4 linked regions of the Oreochromis niloticus genome follow. The protein of the gene in region 2 interacts with the protein of the main gene of each other region in a pairwise test. Links are inferred from orthologs where the notes say so. Each region holds a gene or a part of one and is shown on either strand. Other genes may lie near its edges.

Region 1 (7,897 bases), on a different chromosome or scaffold from region 2:
TGGTGAAATATTATTGGTGAAAATCAGCAATATTCACCTCACGGAAAGCCACTGAGATGAATATTGGTCAGTATGGCGGATAACTGCTGTACTGATCTGTGACTGGTAAATCAATGCATCCCTAACTAGGTTATATAATAACACCAAATATGTTTTTGTTTTAATGAATACATTTTCAATAAATGGTATCGTGTTCTGTATTTTCCTGACATCGATTTTGCAGCAGATATACAGTAAAAACTAGTGAACAAAATATGAGTAAAATCATACTAATTATTATTCCAGACGGCACATGAGACTTGAAGTTGAGTTGACTTATCCAATAAACAAAGATACAGACACCGACACACTGTTTTACATTTGTGCACATGTTAACGTGTCTGTGATTAGTGAATTAAGCTCACCTCTATATCTTTGAAAGGCAGAGGTGTCTCTGGGCTGCGGGGGAAAAACACCAGCACCAAAGTGATTGTCAGAGCCAAGAAGAAAACAGGAAGAACTCCTAACCTGAGAAGACAGAGGATTGAGGATGAGGTCTCCACTACTGAGTTAATGATCTGTAAGACATGCAGGGTTACCTGAGGCTAATGTCATCATAACCAATACCAATCTAAACAATGGCAGCCTTTATTGTGGTTTTCAAAAGTTGTTAACTTTCCAATCAAGTAAACAGCACCATGTTTCACACATTTAAACTTTACTGTAATTGCACAGTGTTTGGTGTTACAGGAGTTCAAATTTTACTGACTTTAGTGGCATAATGGTCCAATGTTGAGTAAATACACAAATGTTAATCAGCAGGGAGTGCAAGGTGTATCGCTGCAGCACTCAACCAGTGAAGCAGCGTGTGTTTTGTTAAAACTCTGATGGAAAAGTGGATTTTTGCTGGTCTCACTGAGTAGCCTATAAAGCAAAACAATGTCTCAGCATGTCTCATGGTGACTGTGCAAAAATCCCTTCCCTTGGTGTTAATTAGATTGTTTTTGAGCACTTAACACCTCCTCTGTCCCTCGCCTCCTCTCAAACACCCAGCTCCAGCCCTTAATGATATTTGAGACATTATAATTTTTGTAATTTTAACCCAGCTGACGGGGATGGGGCGTGGCTGCGAGTCAGTGAACTAATACTGGCATTAATGCATTAAGTCAACTTTATCATACAGTGCCTTTCTCCAGGGACCAAAAAGCAGGTATAATAGGGCACTTAGGAGGCAGAAAAAGGAAAGACAGAAATCTGGAAATGACTCTAGGAACTATAAATTTGGGGACAATGACTGGTAAAGTGGCTAACAGAATAGAGAGACATAAGGTAGATATATTGTGTGTGCAAGAGACCAGGTGGAAGGAATGCAAGGCCGAGAGTATATTGAAGTAGGAGTAGTCATGAAGGATGAGCTGCTTCACTGAAGGGGGGGACTAAATGTATAGAGATAATCAGAAGGAGTTGCACCGTGTGTTTTTTAGATTTATAGAAAGTATATAATATGGTTCCAAGAGAGGAACTGTGGTACTGCATGAGGACGTCAAGAGTGACAGAGAGGTATGTGAGGGTGGTGCAGGACATGTATTACAGGTATTATAGGTATTACAGATGGGTTCAAGGTCTGAGCCCCTTCTTGTTTGCATTGGTGTTGGACAAGCTGACAGATGAGGTCAGGCAGGGGTTTCTGTGGACTATGATGTTTATAGAAGACATTGTAATCTGAAGTGAGAGTAGGGAACAGGTGGAAAAGAGCCTGGAGGGGTGGAGGTGTGCTCTAGAGAGTAGAAGCAAGGTGTAAGGAGTCCAGGTAGTAAAAGCAAATGAGTTTAAACACCTGGTGTCTACTATCCAAATAAAAGGTCAGTACACAAAGAGGTGAAGAAACAAGAGCAAGAAGGATGGACTGAGTGGATACAAGTTTCAGCAGTGATTTGTGACAGAAGGATAGCAGCAAGATTGAAAGGGAATGTTTCCAAGATGGAAGTGAGACTTGCTGTACATCACATACATCTGGCTGTAAAGACACCAGTGCTAACAAAATGACAGGAGGCAGAACAGAAGGTGAAAGAGTTGAAGATGCTGAGGTTCTTGTTAGGAGTGACCAGGATGGACAAAGTTAGAAAGGCAAGCCTGAGAATGTTGGGACATGTACAGAGGAGGGACAGTGGATACACTGGACAAAGGATATTTCAGGTGGAGCTGTCAGGCAGGAGAAAAAAAAGCATTAGTGAGGCTTCATGGATGTAGTGAAGAGGACTGAAGGACAGAGGAGGATGCTAGGGAAAGGGTGAAAATGAGCCAGATAACCCGCTGCAGGTCCCTAAAGGGAGCAGTGGAAAGACATTTTTTGGGATTACACTGTGGTTACTGTGTGATGCAAGAGTATGTCGAATTTACAAGGAAGCCTCACTAATGCAGTGGTTACAACGTGTTATCTCCTAGGTGGACCCTAGCCCACCTATGAGACAAATGGCGCAAATTTAAAGGAAATGCGGCGCCCATTGAGATAAACTCTATGTTATCCAGGCTTCTCGTTATAAATATTAATATATTCCATCTGAGTTAAGCCTGTGTGTGTGCTGTTATGTCACTCACGTAGCGGACCCTGACGCTCTCAGCAGCAAAATCCCAAACACAAGAGCCACAATCCAGACCGCCACAATAACGAAAACGCCAGTACCGACTTCAAGGACAGTATTTGCCATTTTAAAGCAACGTTTTTAAGGGAGCTAACTCATCACACCCAAACGCCCAACCCTTTGTATTTATGAAAAATGCTAATGGTACACTTAACGACGCTGTGCGGTATCTAACTACCGACAGCTGCCGCAGCTAACAGTAGTCGACGCACTGCTTTACAAGTAAGTTCGCTGTCCCTACTAGCGCTTCTATGCTGAGACCGACGGCTTTAAAATATCAGGCCGACACAGTTGCGAACTAATGTTGCCAGCTAAGGCTCCATTTCTCATATAAAAACGAGCCGAGTTTCGGTTAAGCTTTCTCTATGGCGTCATCTGCTTCCTGGTAACAACAAACTGTTATGTAACTGGATAAATGAGCCAGACGACTAACCAATCAAATGCGTCGTTACTTAAGCGTCAAGCCCCACTGTGAAGCTGCCACACAACACCAGAGAAGAAGAAGCAGAGCCTTCTTATGCGAATGTCGAACTTTACCCCATTTATTCCGAGGAAGGGTCTCATTTTACAGCCAGGTCCTTGCATTATAGCCAGGGGATGTTTCAGCGCCTTATGTTAGGTTCGGCTCACTGAGGTAGATTTCCTTAAAGTTTATGAACCAGCAGTGTTTGAAACACTCATAAAGTCTTGTATAAATACTTATCTGAAGGTATCCCCAGAGTAAGCCCAAAACAGTATTAGTATTATTCAGTCTTACACAAAACACATTCATTCCAAGGGATTATCAGACGTGTTCACAAAGTAGCCCGGCATATTTTCCACTCCTGTTTTTATTCATAACAATTTTCTCCTCCTTGATCTACAAAGTGTATTAATAGTAGTGACTGAATCTCTCACGTGCAGTCCAAGCTAAGATTTATTATGGGTAATATTTATGGTGACCAACAGGGGGCTAGCCAGGTCCGCGATTCAAAGGCATCTGCATTCTAGCGCGCGAGTGCGCGCGTTCCATGCCGCGGTCCCTTTTGCTGTTTACGAGAAGAAATTATGAATATGTTACCTTATTAGATATTTACATTTTTTTTAGAGCAGTTTAAACCGTTCTTCGTGTTTTGCCTGTGCCTGCATGACTTTCCATCGGGCGATTTGATCTTTTCTATACTTTCACTGCAGTCAAACAGATTAAAGCGCACACAAACGTCTCACTTTCAATTTTGTATCAAAGTGTCCAGGAAGGGGCGATTCTGGGATTAGACCTTGAAGGGGGCTCAGCCACCTATCATAATGACATGCACAGACTTCCTTGCAATTAATATTAACGGAATATTCTGCTTGTAAACATGTGCTGCTGTCCTTTTCACCTTTACAACCCTCAGTTCAAAGGAATGCACATTACAATGTTACCTTTAAATCAACCCAGTTAGTTGGAATGAATAATCACAGTTTTCCATATGAAACACCAGTGTTATAGCAGGCAAACTGAAGGCAAAGACTCAGTTGTGTTCAGTTGTTGACCAGAAATTACCACGGTACGTTAAAGAACTATTTGTAACAAAGCAGATATGAACAGCCTTTTGTCACTCTCTTTTTTCAGTCTCTTAACCACGTACAGGCAGTTCAGTTTACTTCAATTAAATTGCAATTAAAATTAAAACATTAAAACATTAAAAAAAACATCACTCTTCCACCCCATACACCTGGAGTTGGTAGAGTTGATTTTACACTAAAGTTTCCAAATTCATGCAAACCCTTCATTTATTCTGCAGGATCAACGCAGGATATCAGGCCCCCTGATCCAAGAGTGGAGAATAGATTTGTAATGGTATCCATCCTGTTCAAGCCATGTTTAGCGATGGGAATCCTATTCAGTTTGTATCAATTAATATGTTCTATTTAGAATGTGAAATCATTATTAATGAATATGAGCAAAGCAGAAGCTACCATGGCTTTGTAACTTTTGTTGGCTTTCACTACATATTCACTCTTAGATAGTCTTACTGTAAACAAACACTGAACCACGGTTTCACCAGAACAGAAATAGGAAATTGATAAAGCACATATATATATATACCAGCAGACCCAAGGCTCAGAAAGCTAAAAAAATAGCTAACAGACTCTAACAATCTAGCCTATGTTAACATTTTTGATGGTATTTAGACAGCAAGTATACATAACATAATGACCCTGTTTTATCAGGACAATTTACACTTTTCCTTGCATGTTTACATATTTAGGTAATGTGCGTTTTCAATCTTCACAAGTGAGTGGTGTTGTGGAATGACCTCTTCATCTTCTTTCTGTCACAATAACAAAAATCTTACCTATTAATAAAAATCCACACTGTTGATGTTGAAGCATGTATGAGTGCACTGTGACATCATGACATTAAGAACACTGGACATCTAAATCCGTGCTTGTTATAACCTGCACTGTGTCCAGTAGACCAGGTGGGAATATAAATGCAAAATTAGACAATGATGACAGAACATTTTTTAGGGGTTCTATTTTTAAATTCAGGGGTGCTTGAGCATTTCCGATAAAGAAGGTCTAAACTCAGGTCTAAACTCAGGTCTTTTCTGTTTGAACAAAGAACTTTAATCAGTGGTAAACCTGAACAAGTGAGGATATAACAAAAAGATCGAGGATATGTGGTGCTGTGGTGACTACAACTGAGATGTTTAACATTGAAGCAGCTGCCCACAGCTGTAGGGATTAGAACAGCAGGAAATCAACACGCAGTGAATTAGGTTTCTTATATTAAAAAGGTTCAAGCTTGCCTGTAACTGGACACACTTTCCTGACAAAGGCTGTCACATTATGTTTGTATAAAGACTGAAAGCAAAGAGGATGGCTGAACAGATGTAGGTCACTTTACTTTTCAGGTTTATAACAGAGTCCGCCCGAGCTCACTGAATGCGTTCATATATTAAATCATTTCAAAATGTCATTTAAATGTTCACATTTATGTGTTCTAAGCTGGTCAAGACTGATTCTCTTGATTCAAAAGCAACTAAATTCTTTAGATTTTTTATTCAAATGAGCTGTTGTTTGCTGTTGTTGTTACTGTGATTGTTCTAAACGTTTTGCACCATTGCAACTCGACCGCAAATGTCAATGCGCTCTTCTTTGATGTTTCGTGTGTTTGGAGCCCTACACCTGATTGCCGTATTTCCCATGGACACTGGAAGGCATCAGCAGCCCGGTGTTGGGAAAACGGGGAGCGGAGATGAAGATGGAGGTGGGAGGGGCCTGACATGACTGACGTCAGCGACTGTGTGGAGGAGTATAGGCTGTGCTGTCAGCCCAGTGTCAGTCTGATGAAGATTGGCATGCAGGTAAGCTGTCATTCATTTTCAATGTCAGTGCATGGGAGCAGGGCTTCAGCACTCCAGCGTCCTTTTTCCCCTTTTCCCCCCCTTCATTACAAAAGGCAGGACATTATTCATACAGTCAGACAGCCAGCCAGGCCAGAGTGAGGGAGAGAGAGATAGGGAGGGAAAGAGAGACAGAGTGAGGGAGGGAGAAAGAAAAAAAAGAGAGAGAGCGAGAAACTGAGGGAAGGGAGGGGGCCTAGAGGAGGGGGTGAAAAAAGAGAGAGGGAAAGGAGAGGAGAAGCATTTTTGTGCTGGACTCAAAGACCAGTGGATTTTTTTTCCTTTGCTTGATGCGGCATTTGGATTTTTGAAATTGTCGCGGTAATGTTTGTGATGCGGTTATCTCCGATTTTTTAATGTATAAAGCGGATGTTTTAGTGCAAATGTAATAGTTTAAAGTGAATAAAAGCAGTAAAGCGCACAGGAAGCTGGCGTTCTGTTTGCTTTGATTTCTTTGTCAAAAGCTTCGGAACGCTTCATCCCATTCTAATTAATCGCAAATTAACACTTCATTTTACGGCGTGTCTGTAACGTGCAAAACGCGTGTTGTGTTGTAATGTAATGCAATTTTCTTGATGTTGAAGTTTCGTTGTTGCGCTGTTAAAAATGCTTTTATTTTGACTGAGCGAGTTAGGCGAGGTGTAAGTGTGTGTGTGTGTGTGTGTGTGGGGGGGGGGGTTCATGTTGCACACTTGCAATTTGATGTAATTCACAGAATTTTATTATTAGTTTTCTTAATGCTCGTGAGTTTTGTGTGTGTATTTATTTTTGTTTGCAGGAAAAAAATAGATGTTTGCATGTTTTTCAGTCTCAAACTGAAAAAGAGAACTATAGTTACCTTTAAAATTATAATTTTTTTGCTGATGACTTACAAAAGTACCCCAGCTTTTCAGTGGAATTGGTGTAGCAGCAGTTTTTCAAAGTAAAAGAAAACAAAAAAACAAACAATATATAAAGCATATATATTACATGTAGTAATTGAATGTAGTTGCCATCAAATGGGGGCATTTTTGACTTCTTATTTTCTCAATGAATTTTTGACTGAAGTGAGCTCTAAAGTTTACACTCAGCCTACCCAGCCCTGCATAAACCTCCCTACTCTGAACACTGGCCCTCTTTGTGTGCCGCTCACCACTTTCTATTTCAGATGACTTCTTTATTCCACAATTGCTTGAATGACGGTTTTGCTCACCGTAGCTGTTTGACTGGCACAAAACACTGTCTGTGAGACAGTTAGTTTTCAGCACCGTGAGCCTGTATGATTTAACTTACATCCTTGAGCTAGAGAGGCCCAGATTTGCTGGTCATTTGCTCTGTCTTAGTAGTTTTTTTGAGTCAAATTCAGCCAACTCCTGTGTTCCTTTGGGCAGTATTTCATACAGGCACCCCGGTGCAGGCGCAGATTTGGTAAACACATGTGACTTAAAAACAGAAATGCTTTTCTTAATATAAAATTCAAACTGATAACTGACACAGTTGTTGTCTGTCAGTGGTAAAATGCTCTGGCTATACAAAGCTAACTGAGGGCCAAATAACTAAGGCCATAGTGTGAACATCAAGAGTACATTAGCTTAATTAAATATGCCTGAACCATTTGTTTACTAATCATCTGCTTCCCTGAGAAATCACAATGGCGATTTGGACCACTTTAGGTCCCTTTGTCAGACACGTTCGCCAGGTGCAAAATGCTGAGCATGAAATCCCACGAGGGGCTAAATTTGCACCCACTGTGAAAGTAAACACTTTGGAAGAAACTGCTGTTGTTCTGTGAATTGCTGTTAAAAGAGCAAGAGAAGCCTTTTTACCTTTTACACTGTTCAAATCACCCTTTGTCAGTAGATGATTTTACCTGCGAATGGATCGAGATGGCGTACACAAATACGCAAGCTCACGAGTTGATAC
Region 2 (6,851 bases):
AACATTTATGAGTTGCTGGCAGGTGGTAATTTGGTGCTCTCTACGCATGATCAAAGCATCTGTTCAGGTTTAACAGTAGCCAAAGGACACTCCCGTTTTACCGTGCCTCTTGTGTTTTAAAGTGATTCACGCTTAATGCTTATGTGTGTCTTAATTTTGTTTCTTGTTTCTATTTAGTAGTCATCGGACGAAGAGCTGACAAGGGTTTCTTGTACAAACACCTTATGTTTGGAAATTTGAGGAATTTGCTTGCGTCATGATCGCATTATATGAGTTCAAAATGACAAATCAATAAAACTCCACGTCTGTGCTCATATTTGGTCGCACTCTGCTCTTTGTCAGGCCCGGCAAATTCATTTCACGGGCAGTAATTTGCAGTAAATTGTCCCATTAGTAATGGCTGACAATCGATTTTTGTTTTGTCTTGCTGCCCACACCTATTTCTTTTACCCACTGGCTATTAAAAGCTATATACTGTAAAAAGGTAAATAAAAAGCAGAACAGAAAATGTTTAAACCCCTACTGGACTGGACCACAGTGCACAGCCTATTAAAAACCAAAGAGCTGAGGTATCCCAAGCAGTAAGCCTTCCAGCTTTTAACACATTGTTAAAAACTTGTTCATTGTGGTAATAAATGCCACTTAAAAAATATATATATATATAAAAACAGAGCTCTCTGCTCAACTCTGCACAAACCACAATCTCAAACAGTTCTGTACATAAACATAGAAGAATCATAATTTTTATTTTAAAAGAGGCTAAAAAGACAGCAAGTAACATGAAAGACTTGTTAACTGCAACTAAGTTGGTGGAGACTAAAATGGAGCCAAAAAGGAGTAAATATGCAATTTCCTACTATGGCTAGTAGGAAAGCAAAAAAAACAACAAAAAAAACAACAACAAAAAAAGCACATTACTGTGGGTTTAAACAAGAACTCATTTATTACAGAAAAGCAATAGAGTCATATACACCTGAAAAAAAGCTAAATAAATAAAAGGAAAAATGAACCAATGGCATGCAGAACTCTCAGCTCAGATTGCAGACTTGGGAGAGACTGAAACTTCGGTTAATCAGCCATCCTTTCCCATGTCCTCTGTGGTGCAGCCCAGGAGTGGCTTCATAGCAGAGTGGACTACTTTATTTAGAACAGTGTTGTGGGGTTTTAAACCACGAGCAGACTGCTCGGCTGACTCACCGACTAGAATAGAGGTCTGCCTAAAAAACCTGCGGTGTTCAAAAAAAGAAAAGCGGGGATGACACAAAGTGGAAAAAGAGACTGAGTGAATGAAGGGAAACAAAGACAAAAGATGCTGCTCTTAACAGAGTCTGCCCTCTGTGGTTTGCAGCAATTAAGTCCCTAAAGGGAAGGGTGCAGGAACTCTCTGGAGCACAGCGCACCTTCAGTGTACTTGGCGAGGATGAATGTGTCCCGCCATGCTCACGGGCTTTTATCGATCCTCTCATCACTATTAACTCTGACTGTGTTGTGCAGAACCAGAAACACGAGCTCGGCTGCCAGCGTTAAACAGACAATTTCCACATAACAACGATTCACTATTCATGGAGCAATTTGAACCCTTGATTCTTTATCAAATCCTTGCTTCCTGTCGCAGCACTTTTGCTACATCAAGAAATCTACTGTTGGTGCTACTGATGAACAACCATGATTCTGCACAACCACATCCTGTTGTTTGTTATAGTGACAGATGAGGTGTCTCTGCAAGGATGGGGATGTGCTCAGAGCACTGAGGGAAACAGGTGCCGTTGGACTCGCAGGTGGACGGGGGCTTAAGTCGCCATGAGTGACGATGACCAGCCCCAATCCTAACCCCAATGTTTCTGAGAAGCAAAAAATGTTTCTTTTTAAAAAAAATCAGAAAGATTCATTTTCCATCCTCTGATTGCCAAAAAATTAAATAAATAAAATAACAATACAAATAAAAAATACAGTGATAGCACAGAATTAGGGTTAGGGTTATCACTGATGACTCCACAGGGTTAAAAGGGATCTGTGAGAGATTGGAAATCTGTCTTTTTATGCAACCCTGAGATTATAAGATTATTTTGCAACAGAATGAAGCCATCAAGAGATAAATACAACAATAATTAGGTAGATTACAATAAAGGAGGGATTAGACTGTATATATAAATATATATATTAAGACTGTATTTTCTTTTTTTCTTTATAAGATGATTCAGATTTAATGAAATAAAAACACTTGAGAGTGTAGTGAAAGAGTTAGTACACTGACACACACAGTCACACAAACTAAATTAATAGTTAGGTGTGCTGGTGAATGCTGCAACATCTGCCAGCTGAACACACACACACGCAAGTTAACCAGTAACACCCCAGCCTGTGTGTGTTCCCGATCTTTCAAACACATTAGTTTACACAATTAAACACACACACACCCCTACACACGTACACACAAGGGGTTATGAGCACAGGTTACGAGCCCCGGATGTCTGTCAGGATCTAACAGCTACACCGCCCTCCTGAGGTCCGGCTCCGGGCGGAACAGGCAGTGTAGGTGCGTTTGATTTTATCGTAGATGGCAAAAAAAAAAAGAAAGAAAGAACGATAGAAAGAGAAAGAGCACTAAGAGTTTGCGTTAATAAAAATGTAATTAAAAAAAAGCCTCACCACATTAGTGAGAAAATCTCCGTCGCTGAGTTCCTCCAGGTCCAACAGGTTGGTCCCTCCGGACGGATAGAGTTTCTCCGCTGTTAAACTGTCTAAGATAGAGTCCATCATGACTGCCTGCGTCTGTCTGCACCTCACCGGACGGATGGACAGCTGTGCGTCAGACCATTAAAGTCAGACCATTAAAAAGCGGGCAGTTTGTTTTCACACGGCCTCGCACCGCCTGTGTGTGACTCCAGCTGCTGCTGCTGCTCTCTCTCACTGTCAGCGCTGACAAATGTCAAATTTTCACATCCTCCTCCAGTTGCCTGTCGCTGAGACGTCGGCGCTTCTTCCAGCTCTCTCCTCGCGTGCGCCGCCTCAGCCACTCGCCGATGAATATTCAGAGAAGCCCCGCCCACGTGACGTCCAAAAAAGAAAACGCCCACAAAACAAAGTTGTAGTCGCTTATTCGCTCATTAACAAAAAGGAAGAAAAGAAGAAGACCCATTTAGGGCTTTAGATCAGGGGTGTCAAACATAAGGTCTGGGGTCCAGGAGTGGCCCCACACAGACTCCAATCTGGCCCACTGGATGGCTGCAGAAGATGTGAAAGTTTTACTACTACATACTACACCACAGTAATTAAGTACTTATACATATATATACACATAGTTCTGTTCCTCTTCACCATCTACACTGCAGACATCTCCCACAACTCCACCCAGTGCTTCCTGCAGAAGTTCTCTGATGACTCTGCAATAGTCGGCCTCATCACTGATGGGGACGACAGGGAGTACAGAGAACTTACCCATGACTTTGTGGACTGGTGCCAGCAGAACTACCTCCAGATCAACACTAGTAAAACCAAGGAGCTGGTGGTAGACTTCCGCAGGCACAAACATCCTCCACTGCAACCACTAAACATTCAAGCTCTGGACATTGAGGCTGTGGACAGCTACAGGTACCTTGGTGTTTATCTGAACAATAAACTGGACTGGACTCATAATTCAGACGCCCTCTACAGAAAAAGGCAGAGCAGGCTGTACCTGCTGTGGAGACTCAGGTCTTTTGGAGTGAAGGGCCCACTCCTGAAGACCTTCTATGACTCTGTGGTGGCCTCAGCCATCTTTTACAGTGCAGTCTGCTGGGGCGGCAGCATCTCTGCCGGGGATAGGAAGAGACTGAACAGGCTGATCCGCAGGGCCAGCTCTGTTCTAGGATGCCCTCTGGACCCAGTGGAGGTCGTGAGTGACAGGAGAATGGTGGCTAAGCTGTCATCCCTGTTGGACAACATCTCCCACCCCATGCAGGAGACTCTGACAGCACTGAGCAGCTCCTTCAGTGGCAGACTGCGGCACCCACGGTGTGTGTCGGAGAGATTTCGCAGGTCTTTCTTCCCCACTGCTGTCAGACTCCACAACAAAGACAACTGACCAAACACACACATCCACACATGTGCAATAACACTAAGTGCAATACTCTTTTCTGGCATCGTTGTATTTTACTCAGTTGTATATAGCATTTGTATTCTATTTTATTCTATTGTATATAGTATTTTATTTTATTCTGTTCTATTGTGTACAGTTGTGTACATTATCTTATTCTTATCCTATTCCAGTGTTTTTCTAATTTTTGCTATGTAACTTTGCACTGTCCACTTTCTGCTGTAACAAACCAAATTTCCCACGTGTGGGACTAATAAAGGTTATCTTATCTTATATATATATATATATATATATATATATATATATATATATATATATATATATATATACATATATATATATATATATATATATATATATATGTATATATATATATATATATATATATATATAAATAAACCAAAAGTGATAGAAAAATTCCTGCTTTTTGACTAAATATTATCAAAATTTCTGGGGGATTTGGTTGTTTTTTATTTGTTTTGTTTTGTTTTGTTTTACAGTGGATTAACAGTGAAAATAAATAAAAACATGTAATTATGGATTTTTTTTTTGACAAAGTACAGAAACACACTAACTTATTATTTGAATTATTATTATTTTTTGTTCTGATTAAAAGTGATGCCCTGTCAGGAGTGTGTGGACTTCTACACAAGCTGATGGATGTTCTCCCTCACTTCTGCAAGTTTGGTTGCAAATCTACGTCATTCTTCTCCAGTAGAGGAGTTTGGTGACCTTATTGCTGTGCAAACCTCAACCTGAGCAGAGATCTGATCAGCTAAAGTGAAATCCTTTTCATTTTTTTTTTTGCACTAAATAGAATCTGTAATATTACCCAATTTTCATCTGAGTTATTATCCACTTATTTTAAGATCCGTGAAAGTTCTGTGAATACACGCAGCTACAGTATCAATAAACAAACAGTACACACAGTCCATGATCCACCTGCAGATATCTTTGAGCATGAAATACATGCAGAGATCCATGCCTATCCTTGAGAATGGGTATTTTTGTGGAGATGAAACTGGGAAAAAGACAAGTGACTATAAAGGCTGTTTTGACACCTCAAGATACTCCCTGCAGCTATTACACACACACACACACACACACACACACACACACACACACACACACACACACACGCACACACACACACACACAAAGTGGGAATGAAACAGATATTTCTCTTCACTCCACCATGATTGCTCAGGCTCGCCTGTCTCATTTCATCCCTCTCATTCTGTCCCAGATTGTTTCTCCTCTAAGACACAGATTGAAATACAGCATGGCAAGAGAAACCCTGTTCATCGTTTCAGAGGTGCAAACAATGTGTGTGTGCTGCAACTCCGACCTGTCCCATGATCTGGCTAGATTTTAAGTGAACTCGGCATGTCAGAAGGGCTTATCCATGAGTTTCATCACCTATTTTGTAGGATTAGTACCAGTAGTAGTAGTTGTTGTTATGGTTAGATGCCCTATGGACCGCTTGGTCATCCATGATTTAGATTCACCTAGAAATATCTCAAAACACCTTTTAGATTGGCATAACGATAAAGCCAACCAACGTTAGTGAAAGTGTTTTTGTGTGTGATGTCTCTACAGCTATTGTATGAATTGCGATGGTTGTTTTTAGGACAACCTTATAATAATGAATTTCAGTAGTCCATAAATGCATGAACTAGTTTTTACCATCACTCTGTGACAGGATGTTTCTAATTTTAGAGATATTGTCCAAATGCAAGAAAGCAGTGCTACACGTTTGTTTAATATCTGCATTGAAGGACATATCCTGGTTAAAAATGACTCCAAGATTCCCCACAGTATTACTGAGGGCCAAGGTAATGCCATCCAGAGTAAGCATCTGGTTACACACCATGGTTCTTAGACTTTTAGGCCTGAGTACAATAACCTCAGTTTTATCTGAATTTAGAAGCAGAAAATTAGAGGTCAACAAGTCTTTATGTCTTTAAGACATTCTTGCAGTTTAACTAATTGATATGAGTGTTATCTGGCTTCATGCATAGATAAAGCTGGGTATCATCTGTGAAAATGTAAACTATACCTTCTAATGTTACTGCCTAAGGGAAGCATGTATAGCGTAAATAGAATTGGGCCCGGCACAGAACCCTGTGGAATCCCATAATTAACATTAGTTTGTCATAAGTCTGTTAGAAAGATATGATTCATACTGTGGAGCAATACCTTTAATTCCTACAGCATGCTCTAATGTCTTTAATAAAATGTTATGGTCAATAGTACTGAGTGCTGTGCTGAGGTCAAGCAGGACAAGCACAGAGATGAGTCCACAGCCAGAGGCCATAAGAAGAATATTTGTAACCTTCACTAAAGCTGTTTCTGTGATGTGCTCTGAATTCTGGCTGAAACTCTTCAAACAAACCATCCCTCTTCTGACTCTCTTAAGATTTTTTGAGATTAAAGGAAATTTGGAGTTTGACCTATAATTAGCTAAGACAGCTGGGTCAAGTGATGTTTTTGTAAGTAATGGATCACTGGAATGGAATACTGACGCGTTTAAAGGCCTGTGGTATGCAGCCCATTAATTAGATAGATTGATCATATTTAAGACTGCAGCATTCGAAAATCCCATACCAATCTGAAACAAAATATGCCATTGAAACTGCAAACAAACAGAGCAGTATAATACAATACAATGTTTTTTGAGGGTACACCCCCCAGACCTCAAGTCAGATTTGGCACCTATCCACGCAGTGACTACTGCCTTATACGCATCAGCCTTTATAATTGATAGGAAGAGAAA
Region 3 (7,518 bases), on a different chromosome or scaffold from region 2:
GTTTATTGATATATCAGAGTAATACCTTTATTGTTGATTGCCGTTTGGCTGTTGGTCCATACGATCACATTTGCTGATGTGAGTGGAAGTTGATCTATTCCTTGCTGCTCTAGAAGAGGGCAGTAAAAAGGAAACCGATGTTAAAAAATGAATGTTTATATCAGGTAAATTATTAGTTTAAAAATTGCTGTGAGCACAGAACTATATAATCAGTGCCTACCTAGTAATTATACCAGTGTGAAAGTCAACCCTATATAACCTAAAAGATGTTGGGCTTATGACATGTTGTTTCCTGTGCAGATTCTGTTTGTCTCCGGACTGTCGTTCGTCATCGGCCTCGAGCGTACCTTCAGGTTTTTCTTCCAGAGGCACAAACTAAAAGCCACCAGCTTCTTCTTGGGAGGAGTGCTGGTGGTTCTGCTTGGCTGGCCGATTGTTGGGGTCGTTCTGGAGATCTACGGTTTCTTCCTCTTATTCAGGTCAGCTCAGTCAGAAAGGGCTCACCTCCTTTTCCTCTTCTTTCTCTTTTGGCTGCTCCCTATTAGGGGTTGCCACGGTGGATCATTTACCTGAATCTCACCCTATACCTAACATCCTTTGTCTGTCACCCCAATCCCTCTGCATGTCCTCCTTCACTATATCAATGAACCTCCTCTGCCGTCTTCCTTCTTTCCTCCTGCCTGGCAGCTCCATATTCAACATCTTTTGTCCAGTATATCCACTATCTCTCCACTGCACATGTCCAAAACATCTGAGCCCTTCAACACTCATTTGTATCAATTTACAAGTCTCACTTTATTCTTGCACTCGTTAACAGGGGATTCTTCCCAGTGGCAGTCGGATTCATCAGACGAGTGCCCGTGCTCGGGTCTTTGCTCAGCTTACCGGGGATCAGTTCGGTAAGTGTCACTCTTGGGCACTTTAACCTTGATAAGGGTCACTAATCACAAATATTGTTTAGCGTTATAAGGCTTTCAATGACATTTGTCTGCAAGACTAACAGTAAATAAACACTGTCTGAATTTGATGAAACTTGGTGGAGAGGTGGAGCATGTTCAGAGGAAGGATCCACTAATCTTTGATCCAGTAATAATAAAAGTTGGTCATGGTGGAGAAGGTGCTCTCTGAGTGCTGTTGTAGTTTTCTTTTATGCAAGCCTCTCTGGTTGCAGTAAGAAGTCAGATTCTATAGAAGTGGATGAGAAAATGGCTTCTGGCTCTCTTGCTTAGGTTACGGTCTCAGTTGCTACTTTCAGGTTTCATTAAATACAACATGATGTCAACTGTGTACATAAGATTCCAGCTGGAGTTGAAATAGCAGGGTACGCCACCTACATTGTGGCCGAGTCACTCAGATTCATGGTCTGATCCGCACCTTGCATCTATTTAAGCTCAAGGCCTGGAAGCAGAATTTTGCTAATCAAAGGGTGATGTCACAGTGGCCTCCTCCATCTTTTAAATACAGTCTTTGGCAGACATGGAAAAATCCGGTATTTGCAGCCTGTTGGCCAAAATATCATGCAAGTATAATTATATGAATACGAAACTATTTTGTTTCATTTGTGCTAAATAAAATTCAGTTTACCATCATATATGACTAAAATACACCATTTAAAGTCTTGCATTTGAGAAGCTGGAACCAGGGATTTGTTTTCTTTATTCGTATTTGAATAATGTTAAGTGCAAAGAATTGATTATCAAAATATTTGGAGATTAGTTCTCTAAGCTAAACATGAACTTTTTCCAGTACTTTCAGATGATACAAATGGCATTTACGGCAAAAAGCAGCTGAAAGTTTTTAAAGAAGCTGATATTACTTTGTTGATCTATGTGGGCTTTAAAGATTTTTTTAGAGTGAAATGGCTCCAAAAGCTGAGGAAGATTTTTTTAGATGAGATCGCGGCTGGTCTCTCTCTCATCTAGTCTAATAACAGGGTCCCTGTTGTCCTGAGCACGATCTCATGGGATTCCCCACTCAGTCTCTTGTCTGTGAAGCCTTTTGTAGCTTCTTGGAAACCGTCAGCATCCAGGATCAGTTAATTCTGCCGTGGTCGCTAATATTTTACAGCTGTTTACCAATATAAAAACCTCACTGCATTATCAACATCATCATCCTTACATGTTCTGCTTTATTCCTGTTATTTTAAATCATCCTTCGCATAACAACTCATAAATAATTCTGCCCTTTTTCTTGTTTTATTTCAGCTGGTGGACAAAATTGGTGAGAGCAACACGATGGTATAACGAAGAGGACAGTTTCAGCGTTTCTTACCGTCTCATGGTGACTGTATATTTTGACCATTGCCATTCCAGAGCTGTGAATCCAAACATTACTCTGCACAAAAGACCCACGCATCTGTGGATGTCTGACTGACTGTACATTTAATTCTATTAGAGGGAAACTGTTTCTATCTGACTGCTACTGGATAACATTACCAAGAGATCCTTTTTTTTTTTTTTTTTTTTTAAGGCTGAAAGCAGTTTCTCTTTTATGTCATTCCACTCTGATATTTATGGACTGATAATCTGGGACCACTGGATTAATTTGGAGGACAGTGACAGCATCTGTGTGCCTGAACAGACACTGAGGGCCTTTTTTTTTTTTTTTTTTTCCTCCATGAAGAGTTAGTGGAATTTTATACTTAAAATGTGCGGTTGAGCTAAATGTGGCAGAAATGTAAAAACAGTTTATATTGTCCTGGATGGAAATGTTTAACTGTAACTTTTCTAAGCGCTTGAAATAAAGTGTGCGTTTTATAAATTTTGTTTGTAGTATAAGTAATTTAGATGTCCCAGATCTTACCTGCGTTTTGGGTAATAACAGTATGATTTGCTAAAAGAAGCCCAGCTCCATCTTCTATTCATGGACTCTACTAGAAGAACTTTACATGGTTCACCCATACTGGGCCTTGGTGAAGCTCCTCTAATGCACACGTTCTCTGAAACAAGCTATTTTACCCTTTAATGCACAGGTGTCGAACTTCAGTCCTCGAGGGCCGGTGTCCTGAAACGTTTCCATGTGTCACTGCTGCAGCACACCTGAATAAAATCAGTAGGTCATTAGACTTTATAGAACTTGACCGCATGCTGAGGTGGCAATTCATCCATTTGATTCATGTTACAGCAGCTCATGAGTAAATGAACATGGTACAATAAAAGTACTTCTTTCTTTTTTTTTCAAAAAACTTATATTTACTTACATTTATTTAAACTTGAGTACGGTTAGGTGTTGCCACCTGAGCATGGAGTCAAGTCTTGCTGATGACCTACTAATTTTATTCAGGTTGTTGCAGCAGGGACAAATATAAAACTCCAAAGGTTGATTCTGTTCATCTGGTCGTAGCATTTTCAACGGGAGAAACGTTTCGTCAATCATCCAAGTGACTTCTTCAGTCTCAGCTGACTGCAGGTTTCCCCAATCTGATTGAGAATGCATCAAGACATATTTAAAAGTTTCAGGACACCGGCCCTTGAGGACTGGAGTTTGGCACCCCTGCTTTAATGCTTCGGTCACAAAGGAAGAAGGCGGCTGGAGACTGTATGATCGTGTGCAGTAAACCAATCTCATTGTCTTGGTTGCTTCAGAGGCAGGGACCAGGACTGCAACCACTTGTAGTCAGTTGCTGGATTCAAAGGTGGCAATACAACAGCATTAAATGGATTCAGTCTGCTATCAGTGTACGATTGAGTGTGCTCAAGTTGGCATCCACATGCAATCTGTTTGTGATAATACGGTGGTTATACTCCATAATATATATAAGATTTACTAGCATAAATTTCCAAATTTGTTGCCATGTATATAAACAGAAGTTAATTTAAACTATTTAGATTCAGAGTCCAGCTGAAAACCCATTGATTTGAACAAATTCATCCAAAAAAAGTGACGGCGTTGCTACAGGACAGGGATTTAACTATATAAGCAGCTGGAAACCAGTTGAGTCCTGTTACAAAGAGGCGTGTTGCAGATGAGTTGCGCTAATTGGCACAGACTGTGTCACGGACCCGGTTCCGGGGACTCGGGGTCCGTGAACAGTGTGGACCATTATTACTATTATTATTATTATTATTATTATTATTGTGTGTTGTCTGCACTGCCTCTGATCTGTCCTCATCTGTATGTAGGCAGGTTTGTGTGTGTGTTTGTGTGTTGCTGTTTCTGTGGCCAAGTTACAGGCATCTTCAGGCCTGAGGGGCGTGGCCTAGCTCGAGGATTGGCCACACCCGAAGCCCTTGCCACACACCTGCTCCTCATCAGGGCTCGTCGGTGGAACTATTTAGAGGAGTGATGGAGCTTCCACCGACGCGGGATTATTGCGTTTGACTACACGTCAGTCTTCTAGCTCGTAGGAAGTGTGAGTGTATGCCTGCTAGGATATAGTGTGTTAATGGCTGCCTCTATTGTTTTCCCTCAGGAGGAATGTGGAATGAGAGAGAGCAGTGAGCACGAGGAGTGCTCGAGACACTGGAGCAGAGAGCACTACACGGGGACTTTTTGGGAAAGAAGACACTACACGGGAGTCAGGGACACTAGGGGATTTATTGTTGTTTACTTCACCACCTTTGTAAATAAACACTGTCGCATTGAAGAGTCCGGCGTTTGGGTCCTATTTCCCCATCTCCCCACGGTCTGCCAGCTCAGACCGTGACAGACTGACTTATTTCGATTGCAGTGTGTTGGTTTTAATTGGTCGGCATTGTAAATATTCACCAATCTGCCTGAGAGTGATTGCAGTGGTCGAGTGGCCCGCGATTGTCTGCAGACAGGTCGCCTCCCAACAGGCGACCTGTGCGGTCACTTTGTGATTCAAAGTGGTCACTCAGAGGCTGAGGATGCTGTACGGTCAACTTCTGATGGAAAGGTTGGTCATCAAACCGGTGTTTACTCTGATGTGACAGTCTTAAGCCAGCTTTATATGAGCAAATGTTAATCAAGTTTAATATGACAACGTCAACCACTGTGAAATGATAATACGTTCCCTTTAAGCATTCACATATCAGAGATTTATAATTCAAAACTAATCTCACTGTTTATACACAGTGTGTACAGGTCATAAACACAGAGATTTATGTATGTGTGAAATTTCTAAAACAGTTGAAACAAAAATAACAAATAAATTCAAGGTCCTCATGTTCGATTTCCTTCATGCTTTCAGCTGATCCAGGCTCCTGCTCCTCATGTCAAACCCACATTCTCAAATCCATCATCTTCAAGCAAATGCACTGCATTCATAATAAAAGTGGAAGAAAATCTAATGAGGGTTTACTTAAATATTTTTGCTAAAGCCCTTATTAGAACAAATGCATTTAATTTAACTACACTTATATTTGCCTTTGAAATAAATACATTAATTGCCAGTGAAGGTTGTGATAGTAAAGGCCTAAATGTCTCTTAAAAAATGTTTGAGAGGTTAAAACGTATTAGTATGCATATATTTTTAGCTCATCTGGCTGAAGGACCAATGCACTTAAGCCACGGCGAAGACTTAAGTTCATCCATGGTTCACATTAATACAGTGCTGGTCTTATTTTAGCAAAGACCACCATTCACTTTAGTTTTATTACAAAGCTGCAGTTCAAAACAACAGTCACCCCAAGGCTTTATATTTCAGAGACAAAGACCCTGCAATATTAGCAAGACACTCCAACGATCACATGACTCCGCCCCCTATGAACAAGTAGTGCTCCACACAATGATGACCACAATTTGGGAGAAGACCTATTGAAGTCATGGATATGGACAAATCGGTTGTAGGCAATAAAATAGATTTACAGATTACACAGGTTCCTTGAAGGACTAGAATTGTGTTATTCTCAGCCTCAGGCCTCCCGTAGGCGTCTGCACCTGCCACCTCATCACTGCTCATCATCATCATCAACTTCATTCATAAAATCTCACCGGCGTCGTCGTCCTGCAGTGACCCTGTGAAGATACTCTGCTGCTCGCGAGACTTAAAAGTTTGAGTGTCTCTCATGCGTCTGCGATTAATGTGCAGCGACATCTTTAACAGCACCGTCAGCTGAAGAAGTAGGTGTGAGGTGATTAAGACACCTGTCAGCGTCATCAGTTGGTTTTTTCTTACAAACGATGTGACTGCACTGACAGGGAAACATTAATCAAACATTTAAACCAGCTGCAACCTGCAGGAGAGCACAACGCTTAAAGTAAGAGGTAAGATATTCTTCTTCTTAGAGACATATATATATATATATATATATATATATATGTATATGTATATATATATATATGTATATGTATATATATATATGTATATGTATATGTATATATATATGTATATGTATATGTATATATATATGTATATGTATATGTATATATATATGTATATGTATATGTATATATATATATATATGTATATGTATATATATATATATATGTATATGTATATATATAAATATATATACATACATTTTAATTTTCTTAAATGTGAAAAAATGAGGTAAATTAAACTTTTACTTTCTAAGTCTACCTTTTACTATTTATGAGCAAAATTAAATCCGTTTATAACACAATGCAGCGCAATAAATCATGAAGCTAATAAAGCACAGACAGAAAACATGTAACTATTGTCATTCAGTATTAGTATAGTATAGTGAGGTATTAGTATAATACAACAGCTCACAATTATGTGTAAAGGAGAAATTTACTTGCTAAAAATACACGGGCAATTGCTTAAACCTGCTTACAGAGATTTATTATAGTGTGTTACATTAATAACATGTAACATAAAGTAAGAATGCTACAAATTATTGTAAAATAAAACACTATTAATGAAAATATGCTACAAATACTGTTAATATAAATACAGTTAAAAAAATTTAACTGTAAAATGTACACAAACCGCAACTTACTGGTGTCCAACTGTAAATTTACTTGACATTAGTGGCTGTAATTTCATTTACAGTAAATTTACTGTAAAGTTACTGCAAACTTTTTACCGTAAATTACTGGCATCTAGGTGCTGATGAGGTGCTTTAAAATTTGTTTACAGTGAGTTTACATCTAAACACAGAGAAATAGACCTGTGCTGGATGACTGTAATTAAACTTCTCAGAAAAAGACGCAGTTTATTTTTCCCCCTCTTGTTCTGTTGCAGAGTTCAACAATGTCTCTACTAGTCACGTTGCTTTTGCTGTCGCTGGTTTCTCAGTGTTGGACTGCTCCACAGGTTAGTCAGGATTTGTCTTTTGTCACGTTTAAACCTGATCAGCCTGAGCTGGAACAGAATTTTCTTTTCCATTTTCAGAGGAGAAACTGGACTTCTCAGGCCATCCTATACCTGAAAGGAGCACGTAAGAACGCACTGACCGCAGCAAACAGTCACCCAGATTTCAGATGTCTATCAGATCAAAACGATATCGTGTGCTGATCTTTTGCAGAGGGACGCCGCTCATTTTTGGAACGTGGCAGAAGAGAGGAAGAAAACACTTTTCACTCAGGTGTGTGAATACATGATGGAGCTCAAGTAGTGTAATCACATAAACAAGTAAATATAACTATGTA
Region 4 (7,370 bases), on a different chromosome or scaffold from region 2:
TAAAAACTTTGTTTTAAACTGAACAACCAAAACTCCACATGATGGGGTGACTTAACTATTTTCAATGTAATCAGATATTCTGATCATATTACAGTTTTTCCTATTAGTAATGACATTTCTGACAATGCACTGAAATTCTTAAGGGATTTTTTTTTAAGGAACAAAATAAATTTATTAGAAGCAGGCTGTTATACAGTATCTAAGCAGATAACATAATGCCTGCTCAGATCTAAAGTACTGCAGATGTTAAAGGGGATACCACTATTTAGAAATGACATCTTTATTTATTTTTCTTCTTTTTATTTTGGGCAACATATACGCAAGTATTAGTAAGTCTGTGACCAGCCAACAAGGTCATAACAAAGCAGCTGGATAATAAAGTCAGAAGTTAAAAAGTGAGACTGACCTGTTTTTTTTATTAGTATTTTTTTTTTTTTTTTAATAACATTGTGTACGTGATTCAGAATATAAGTATGCTCTTCAAAACACACAGTCATGATCCCTACTCTTCTTTTTCCTCTGGGTTGTCTCTCCATATGCAGTAGTTGAGGCTAGTTGCAAGGCACAGCCAGCCCAGATAGGGCGCCAAGAGCATCGTGGCGGTGCGGCTGATGGGATACCAGGACATCATGGTGGCTCCAACAGTCCCAGTGAGAAGCACAATCTCAATGAGGGACTAAAAAGAACAGACAGAGGGCATGTCAGTGACAGCGATGTATACAACTACACTGCCACACTTACCACACCCCTAATTATTGGTGTCCAAATTTAAATTTACCCATTTCAGCTTGTGTGCACCAAAGAAAATGGGAGTCCAGGCCCAATTCAGAGCTAGCTGTGTCCCATAAAGCCCGAGTGGAACTAGTGCATCCTCAGTGAAACCTCCAAGCTCCTTCCACACCAGGTATGAACCATAGCTGGAAGAGAAAGACAAAAAAAAACAACAACAAAAAAAAAATCACACGAGATCATTAAGATAAGGAGGTTGCTTCACAGATAATGCAGAAATCAGTCACAATGTGCTTACCCCATGCCTGTGTACAGACACGTCCACACTACGGGGAATGCTTTGTTTGGTGGGCGCCACGATGGTTTCTTCAGGGTTGGGTACCAGGTATTTACCTCTTTGCGTGTGATATAAACACCGTAGAGCCCTCCCAGGTGTGGCAGGGCAGTGAACCCAGCTATTTGCAGCCACATTTTCTGAGATAAGAAAAAGACAGCCATTTAACTTCCGCTAAGGGTGGATATTCATAGGTATAAGTATCAAATTTTTCTGCCTAATGCATCTGCTGTCCCATGACTGACTAAACAGGATTTGCAGTAACAGAAAAAGTGAGGATTTTGTTATGCGCACATCCTTGATCATTTTAGTTTTAGACTTTTTTTTTTTTAACAGTTTTTTAAATTTCAAGGTAGGCATTAGGCATATGTCAATTTCTCTGTTAAAAATTAAATTTAATAACTAACTGAAGCATGGCATCAGATTCGATTTGTGCAGACCAAATGGCCAGCCCTGTTACAGTTCAGCACAATAATAGACACTTGCACCACATAAATAAAAGCTTATACTTCATAACCAACCAGAATGGCTTCAACACATTAAAGACATGCTACTTATTTAAGAGTCAATACATCATTACACAACAGACGTTAAATCAAAGTATCACTGCTGTAAAGACCATTTTAAATCCTTAGCCAAAGCAACTATCAACTAACATTACAAGGCTGAACCATTTCAACTTAATTACACCCCTGAGAGTTAACCAAACATAGTCCATATTCACACTGATCGACCTCTTTGCACTCATTAGCCTCAGAAATACAAGCTGTGGGCTATTTTTAAGTAGCATTCCAGTTTTTAATCACTTATCATTGCATAGAAATGGCTTTGTGCACTGTTACAGAGTACTTGCTGGCCAGAAATAACAGGTCTTATGGGGGTATCTATAGATGTAAACAAGATTTCCCTTCATACAGTTAAGGTTAATAGTCTGTTACCTTTACTGCTATTTTTAACAGGACATTTAAGCATTAAAAATGTATGTACTCAAGCTTAAATATACAAGTAAACGCATTCCTTTCCCTTGACATAATCCCCAAACCTTTTTATTTTAATAAGCAGGAAAAGAACAATACCCGCATGACTCTGTCGCTTTCATTTTCTTTCTTACAGCAACGTTACAAAAACACATGACTTTTACTATACATTTAAGCACGTTTTGCTGTTGTTCTAGCGCAGCAGTGAAACATGCTAACTTAACGCTAATTAATTTTTCTTTTACGTGTTCGTGCTCCCAAACATTACGTGCGCTGACTTTCTGAGGTCACGCTGCACTTGAGTGACTCTAGGTCAAGGTTTGGCGGCGCAAAGTTGCGTTAAAGCTAATGTTGATGTCAGGTCACGAGCAGACATAGCTTAACTTCTTACCTCACTCAGTGGGCAGCAGCGTAAAGTATGACTGTCGTATCGAGGACTGAATCTACAACATACAGCCAAATCTTTAAGCACACTGTTAAGCCGTGATATTGTTTGTCGAGTGGGCAGGGCCACCTTATCGGAGCAGTCAGAAACACTCCCCTGACACTCCCTGGATAACGAGTGCTACTTGCGCTACTGAGCCAAACAATGTCACGTCGCAGCGTAGTTACCAACGACTGGTCACGAGGATAACATCAGGAGTTGTTTAACGGTCGAAAAACCGGTTATTAGCTAAATAAATGTGTTGCATAAGGCCACGGTGACACAAATGTTAAAAAAAAAAAACCGCGAAAAACGTATTCGCTCAATGCTTTGTTTGTTGTCTCGTGTCCTTTTGGCCGAGGAAGCGCACGGAGCCTGTTATGTGACAGCAAAGATGACAAAAACGTCAAGATAGTTACCCTCCGTGTCGAATGGCAGGCGTTACAATGCTTTCCTTTCCTGTTCCAACAGCTTGTTTTAGACCACTTAAAATGTCATGTTTTCCCTACAGCAGGGATGTCAAACATACGGCCCGGGGGCTAGAATCAGCCAGGATCCAATCCATCCCACTGAATGGCTTTGGAAAATGTGAAGGACATACATTTGAGACATTTTACTGTTTTTCCTTGTGTTCCGCCCCATGGCAATTCACATTGCACTGAAGTAATCAATTATAGATTTCTGTAATTTAATCATTTACTTTATTTACAATTTAAGCCCAGTCGTGCTGACAGACTTGTTTCATTTACTATGACAGAATTTCTTTGTAATGTAGAAAAAACGAAAAATACCGTTAAAATTGTGCTTCTTTGTTTTATGTTAAGATTTTGTAGAGATTAATTATGTAGTTAAACTATTTTACACTGACAGAAATTGGAGTTTCACCAATCCTGCCCATATAAGATCAAAGTGAGCTGGATGTGGCCCACAGTGTAAAATGAGTTTTACATCCCTGCTTTATGAACTATGGAAACTTATTTCTATTAATTTTATTACCCTTTTTTTATATATTATTTTTTTTATATATTATATTTATATTTCTAATACTTACTGGTGGAGTATGCATGAGACATAACAAGATTGAAGTTGAGGAAATACCTCTCCCAGGCCTCTGTGTTCACATCACAATAATGTTGAGTAGCCGAGTACAGTTATGTCTTCATCTGTGCAGTTCTTGCAACACTACTTGTCTGTCTTCAAACCTCACGTGTCAGGTAAGGAAACAGATGCCAGTGTTGAGATCCAGTTGCATGAGCAGATTTCTGAGAGAGTGCAGAGAACTTCCTCTTTATGTTTGAAGCAATGACTGTAGAAAACAGAATGAAAAGCTGTAAAACTTGTGTAAATACAGTTAAAAGTCCAACATTTCTACTTATGCTTGTTTGTGGTGAGCAGCAGATCAAAAAATTTAGGATTATAAATGGCTTCAAGTGCACATTCAGGCCTGTGAGACTCATTCAAACACCCAGACACTGACACATGGCTCTGTGCTACACGCAGACATTTCTGCATTTCTGCTATTCCAAGACTCTTTATATATAGTTTATTTTATGTAATATTCAATACTGAACTGTAACTTTAGTCTTTTTCAAGGAAGCAAATTTGTATTCAGTGTTTTCATAAAGGCCTTATTTTCATGGCTTTGCTAGTATGGAAGAACACACATGAGGTTTAAGGCCTGGACAAGTTTGAAACCTTTTCTCCTTCACAATGGAAAACTGCTGAAAATAAACATGGGTATCACTTTATCCAGCTTCTAATTTTATAAATTCTGCATTCAGCTTTGCAGCCTCCAATATTATTCAGATGCTGCTCATTTTACATTTTCACTTGTTTCCTCACTTTTCCCGGACACACTTGCATCTGCACATACTTTGTCAGTCAAAAACACTGTTAAACACAGTTACAACATATGCACAGTTAACTTGTTGGTTTGTGTCAAATAGTCTTGAGGGTGGAGTGTGCAGTGATTGAGTATTCTTCTACTTTATAGTGGAAGGTGTAAAACTGCCTCTATATTGAAAGTCCTATTTATGTGATCGTTAGTATGATTGTGATGTTTGCTATTTAATTTAAAGAAACTCAGTCATTCTCTTTAACTACTCCAATTTCAGACAAGCTGGGAGGCTGTGGAAAATGTAAACAGAATGCAATGATTTGAAAACTTCATAAATCCATTTCTTTTTCACAATAGAACATAGAAAACACAAAACATTTTTAAACTGAGAAAATGTACAATTCTAAGACAAAATAAGGTCATTTTGCATCTGATGGTAGCAACACGTCTGAAAAAATTTGGGACTGGGCCATGTTTACACTGTAGTGACAACAGACTGTAAACATCTGGGAACAGAGGAAACCAGCTGCTGGACTTTTGGGAGAGGAAGTTAAAGCCTCTCCCAAAGGGAGAGGGATGAGCTATTTAAACCCTTTGCAATTGACTAAGAAGCTCTGAATCTCTGAGATGCTTGTTTCATATTACTAAACTGTTGCCAATTAAACTAATTATTTGTAAAATGTTCCTCCAGCTGTATCTTTTTAGAAACACTTACTTTTCAGGCCCTTATTACCCCTTTGTCAACTTTTTTGGGACATGTTGCTGCCATCAAATTAAAAAAAATAAGTACATTTTTGTTTGGTTGATTATTTCTTTGTTGTAACAATGGTTCTTGGCAATAAATTCTATACTTTTGGAAAGCCTGTTTATTTCCCCTTAAATGGTTTCAAATGTAAGGAGTTTATTTATTTGTAAATAATTATATTTGTGGGTTGAGCAGCAGATTTGAATATGTGCTACATCGGTCAGTTGGCATCTGCTTCAAGCACGCCATGTCTGACTGACCTGCATAGGGCCTGTGCCATAGGGCAACTTGAAGTTGCAAAACCAAGTTGCTGCATTATTTGGAGTGAACTGCACACAGCCAATCGCCATTCTCAAAGGGCTGCCAGGAGGCCTGTCATGACTGCCCTTCATCATCAGGCCTGTTTGCATTGGTCTTGCAACATGTGCAGTAGAACCTAAACAAGTAGAGGAACGTTATGTTCAATGATGAGTCCAGATTCTGCCTATGGCAGCTGGATTGTATGGTCAAAGTGTGAAGAAGATGCAAAAAACACTATGCTGGTTGCTCCAACGATAAGGTAGCAGCTTTTGATGGAGGCAGAGTGATGGTGTTAGGACATATCTCCTTCACTGAAAAACAAGGCGTGCCATTATTGGAGGCAATCTTGATGCAGAGATATCAAGATAAGATTCTGCAACCAGTGGTAATCCCATATTACCACAATCTGGGAGACTATCACCAGAATTTGGGTATAGAAGAAGAAATAAAACCCCTAAAGGCCTTACTGGACTAGGTAGCACTTCATAATAATGTCACACTATTAAGCATTAGTAAAGTAAGGTATTAGCAAATTAGCATATCATTGGCATATTATAATTACTCCTCCTTAGTGTGTCATTTATAAATACAGATATTCCAGCTTCTCTGAAATTGGGGTTGTACTTAAAGAGAATGACTGAATTTCTTTAAATGAAAACAGCACACATCATAATCATACCAATGATGACTTAAACTGGGCTTTAACTGCATCACTGCACACACCATCTTCAAGACACAACCCAACTGTACATACACTGTAACTGCATTTATAAACAGTGTTTTCTAGACAAAGTATATGCAGTAGTAACTTAAAACTACAGTATAATTGTTTATTTCATGTTTGGCTCGTGGCTCAAAGCTTCATTCTCTGGTATTTACAGCCCAGTTTAGCACACTGTGTCTTTAAAAAGTTGCACTGTTAAAATGACTCAGACTTCTTTGGGTAAGAAGATTCACATAAATCTGATTTTATGAAAAGGGAACTTATAGTTCAGTTAATGAGCAGAAATCATGAGTTGTACACCCCTGGGTATGTTTATTTCAGCATTTGAGTGAGTTTGATTATTAATAAATTTCAGAAATTGGCATGTAGTTTCCTGCGAGCAAAGCAGATGTGAGATTTTGTGCTGTAAGTTGTAGATGTGTAAACATGTAAAGTAATTATTTTTGAAAAATCTGTTTTTCCATGGCTTATGATATAGATAGCTTGACTGAAAAGTCAGTAGTCAGTGAGTGTCCTGAATACTCCTAAATTCTGACTCTCACTCCCCATTCATGCAAAATGAGTTGAAACTGGTGACTGAGCCAATACAGTCATCTGAAAAGTATTTACTGAGGTCACAGAGCCAAGTTCTTGTGTAATTTGGCACAGATAAGACAAAGAAGAAACGTTGTCTAATTACTTGTGGCCACAGTTCGATCTAATGCATGAATAAATGTTTGACTTTCTGTATTCTATACAGAAACGTAACATCTATATTTATTGTTAATGTGTGGTTTTATTCAAACTGTCAATCACTTTGTTACTGTGTGTTTTTAAAAAGTGCAATACAAATCAAAGTTATGATTATTATTGTTACCATTATTATTAAAGTGGTCAGGTAAAAGGACTGGACTGCAAATGAGTGAAAAAGCAGACAAAACCCCCCAAAAAACTTTGAAAGACCTTCAGAAAACTACTTCAGAGATGCTGATAAGTGGATTTTGTCATCTTTGAACAGAGAGCAGTGGTTACCCAGTTTTATAAGCAACTACAACCAGCTGCATGAAAGTTGTAACTATTCGAATAGATTTTTTAAAACATTTTTGTTGTTGTTGAATTATTCCTTAAAATAACAGCAAATTTAGAGAGTAAAACAGATGCTTAGTCGGCAGGATAGGTTAAGAATGTTTTTTTTTATGGAGGAGGGGAGAAAGAAAAACCCCCCACAAACACACACACATACATACTATCAGTCAAAAGTTTGGACACCTTCTCATTTAATGGTTTTTCTTTATTTTTCCAACTTTCTACATTGCAGATA

Evidence for each region.
Region 1: the proteins of creb3l1 (region 2) and tmem218 interact in binary tests that used the Homo sapiens proteins (3 or more experiments, as listed by UniProt). The link is inferred for Oreochromis niloticus from reciprocal best matches to the Homo sapiens genes CREB3L1 and TMEM218.
Region 3: the proteins of creb3l1 (region 2) and slc35b4 interact in binary tests that used the Homo sapiens proteins (3 or more experiments, as listed by UniProt). The two-hybrid records come from large-scale screens. The link is inferred for Oreochromis niloticus from reciprocal best matches to the Homo sapiens genes CREB3L1 and SLC35B4.
Region 4: the proteins of creb3l1 (region 2) and tspo interact in binary tests that used the Homo sapiens proteins (3 or more experiments, as listed by UniProt). The two-hybrid records come from large-scale screens. The link is inferred for Oreochromis niloticus from reciprocal best matches to the Homo sapiens genes CREB3L1 and TSPO.

Annotation. Positions count from the first base shown.
Region 1 is NC_031975.2:4,619,057-4,626,953, forward strand, and holds the start of tmem218 (transmembrane protein 218), read right to left. Parts: upstream 3,024-7,897; 5' UTR 2,688-3,023; coding exon 2,578-2,687; intron 508-2,577; coding exon 405-507; intron 1-404. UniProt on the Homo sapiens protein: May be involved in ciliary biogenesis or function.
Region 2 is NC_031986.2:12,843,817-12,850,667, forward strand, and holds the start of creb3l1 (cyclic AMP-responsive element-binding protein 3-like protein 1), read right to left. Parts: upstream 3,018-6,851; 5' UTR 2,761-3,017; coding exon 2,650-2,760; intron 1-2,649.
Region 3 is NC_031972.2:48,261,855-48,269,372, reverse strand, and holds the start of slc35b4 (UDP-xylose and UDP-N-acetylglucosamine transporter), read right to left. Parts: upstream 3,003-7,518; 5' UTR 2,901-3,002; coding exon 2,803-2,900; intron 2,765-2,802; exon of another isoform or gene 2,244-2,764; coding exon of another isoform or gene 2,205-2,243; intron 900-2,204; coding exon of another isoform or gene 818-899; intron 480-817; coding exon of another isoform or gene 301-479; intron 1-300. Other genes in the region: vesicle transport protein GOT1B, read left to right, coding at 301-479, 818-899, 2,205-2,243. UniProt on the Homo sapiens protein: Antiporter that transports nucleotide sugars across the endoplasmic reticulum (ER) membrane in exchange for another nucleotide sugar.
Region 4 is NC_031970.2:19,775,393-19,782,762, forward strand, and holds tspo (translocator protein), read right to left. Parts: upstream 3,016-7,370; 5' UTR 2,884-3,015; intron 2,842-2,883; exon of another isoform or gene 2,432-2,841; intron 1,204-2,431; 5' UTR 1,201-1,203; coding exon 1,028-1,200; intron 918-1,027; coding exon 779-917; intron 677-778; coding exon 503-676; 3' UTR 156-502; downstream 1-155. UniProt on the Homo sapiens protein: Can bind protoporphyrin IX and may play a role in the transport of porphyrins and heme. Promotes the transport of cholesterol across mitochondrial membranes and may play a role in lipid metabolism, but its precise physiological role is controversial.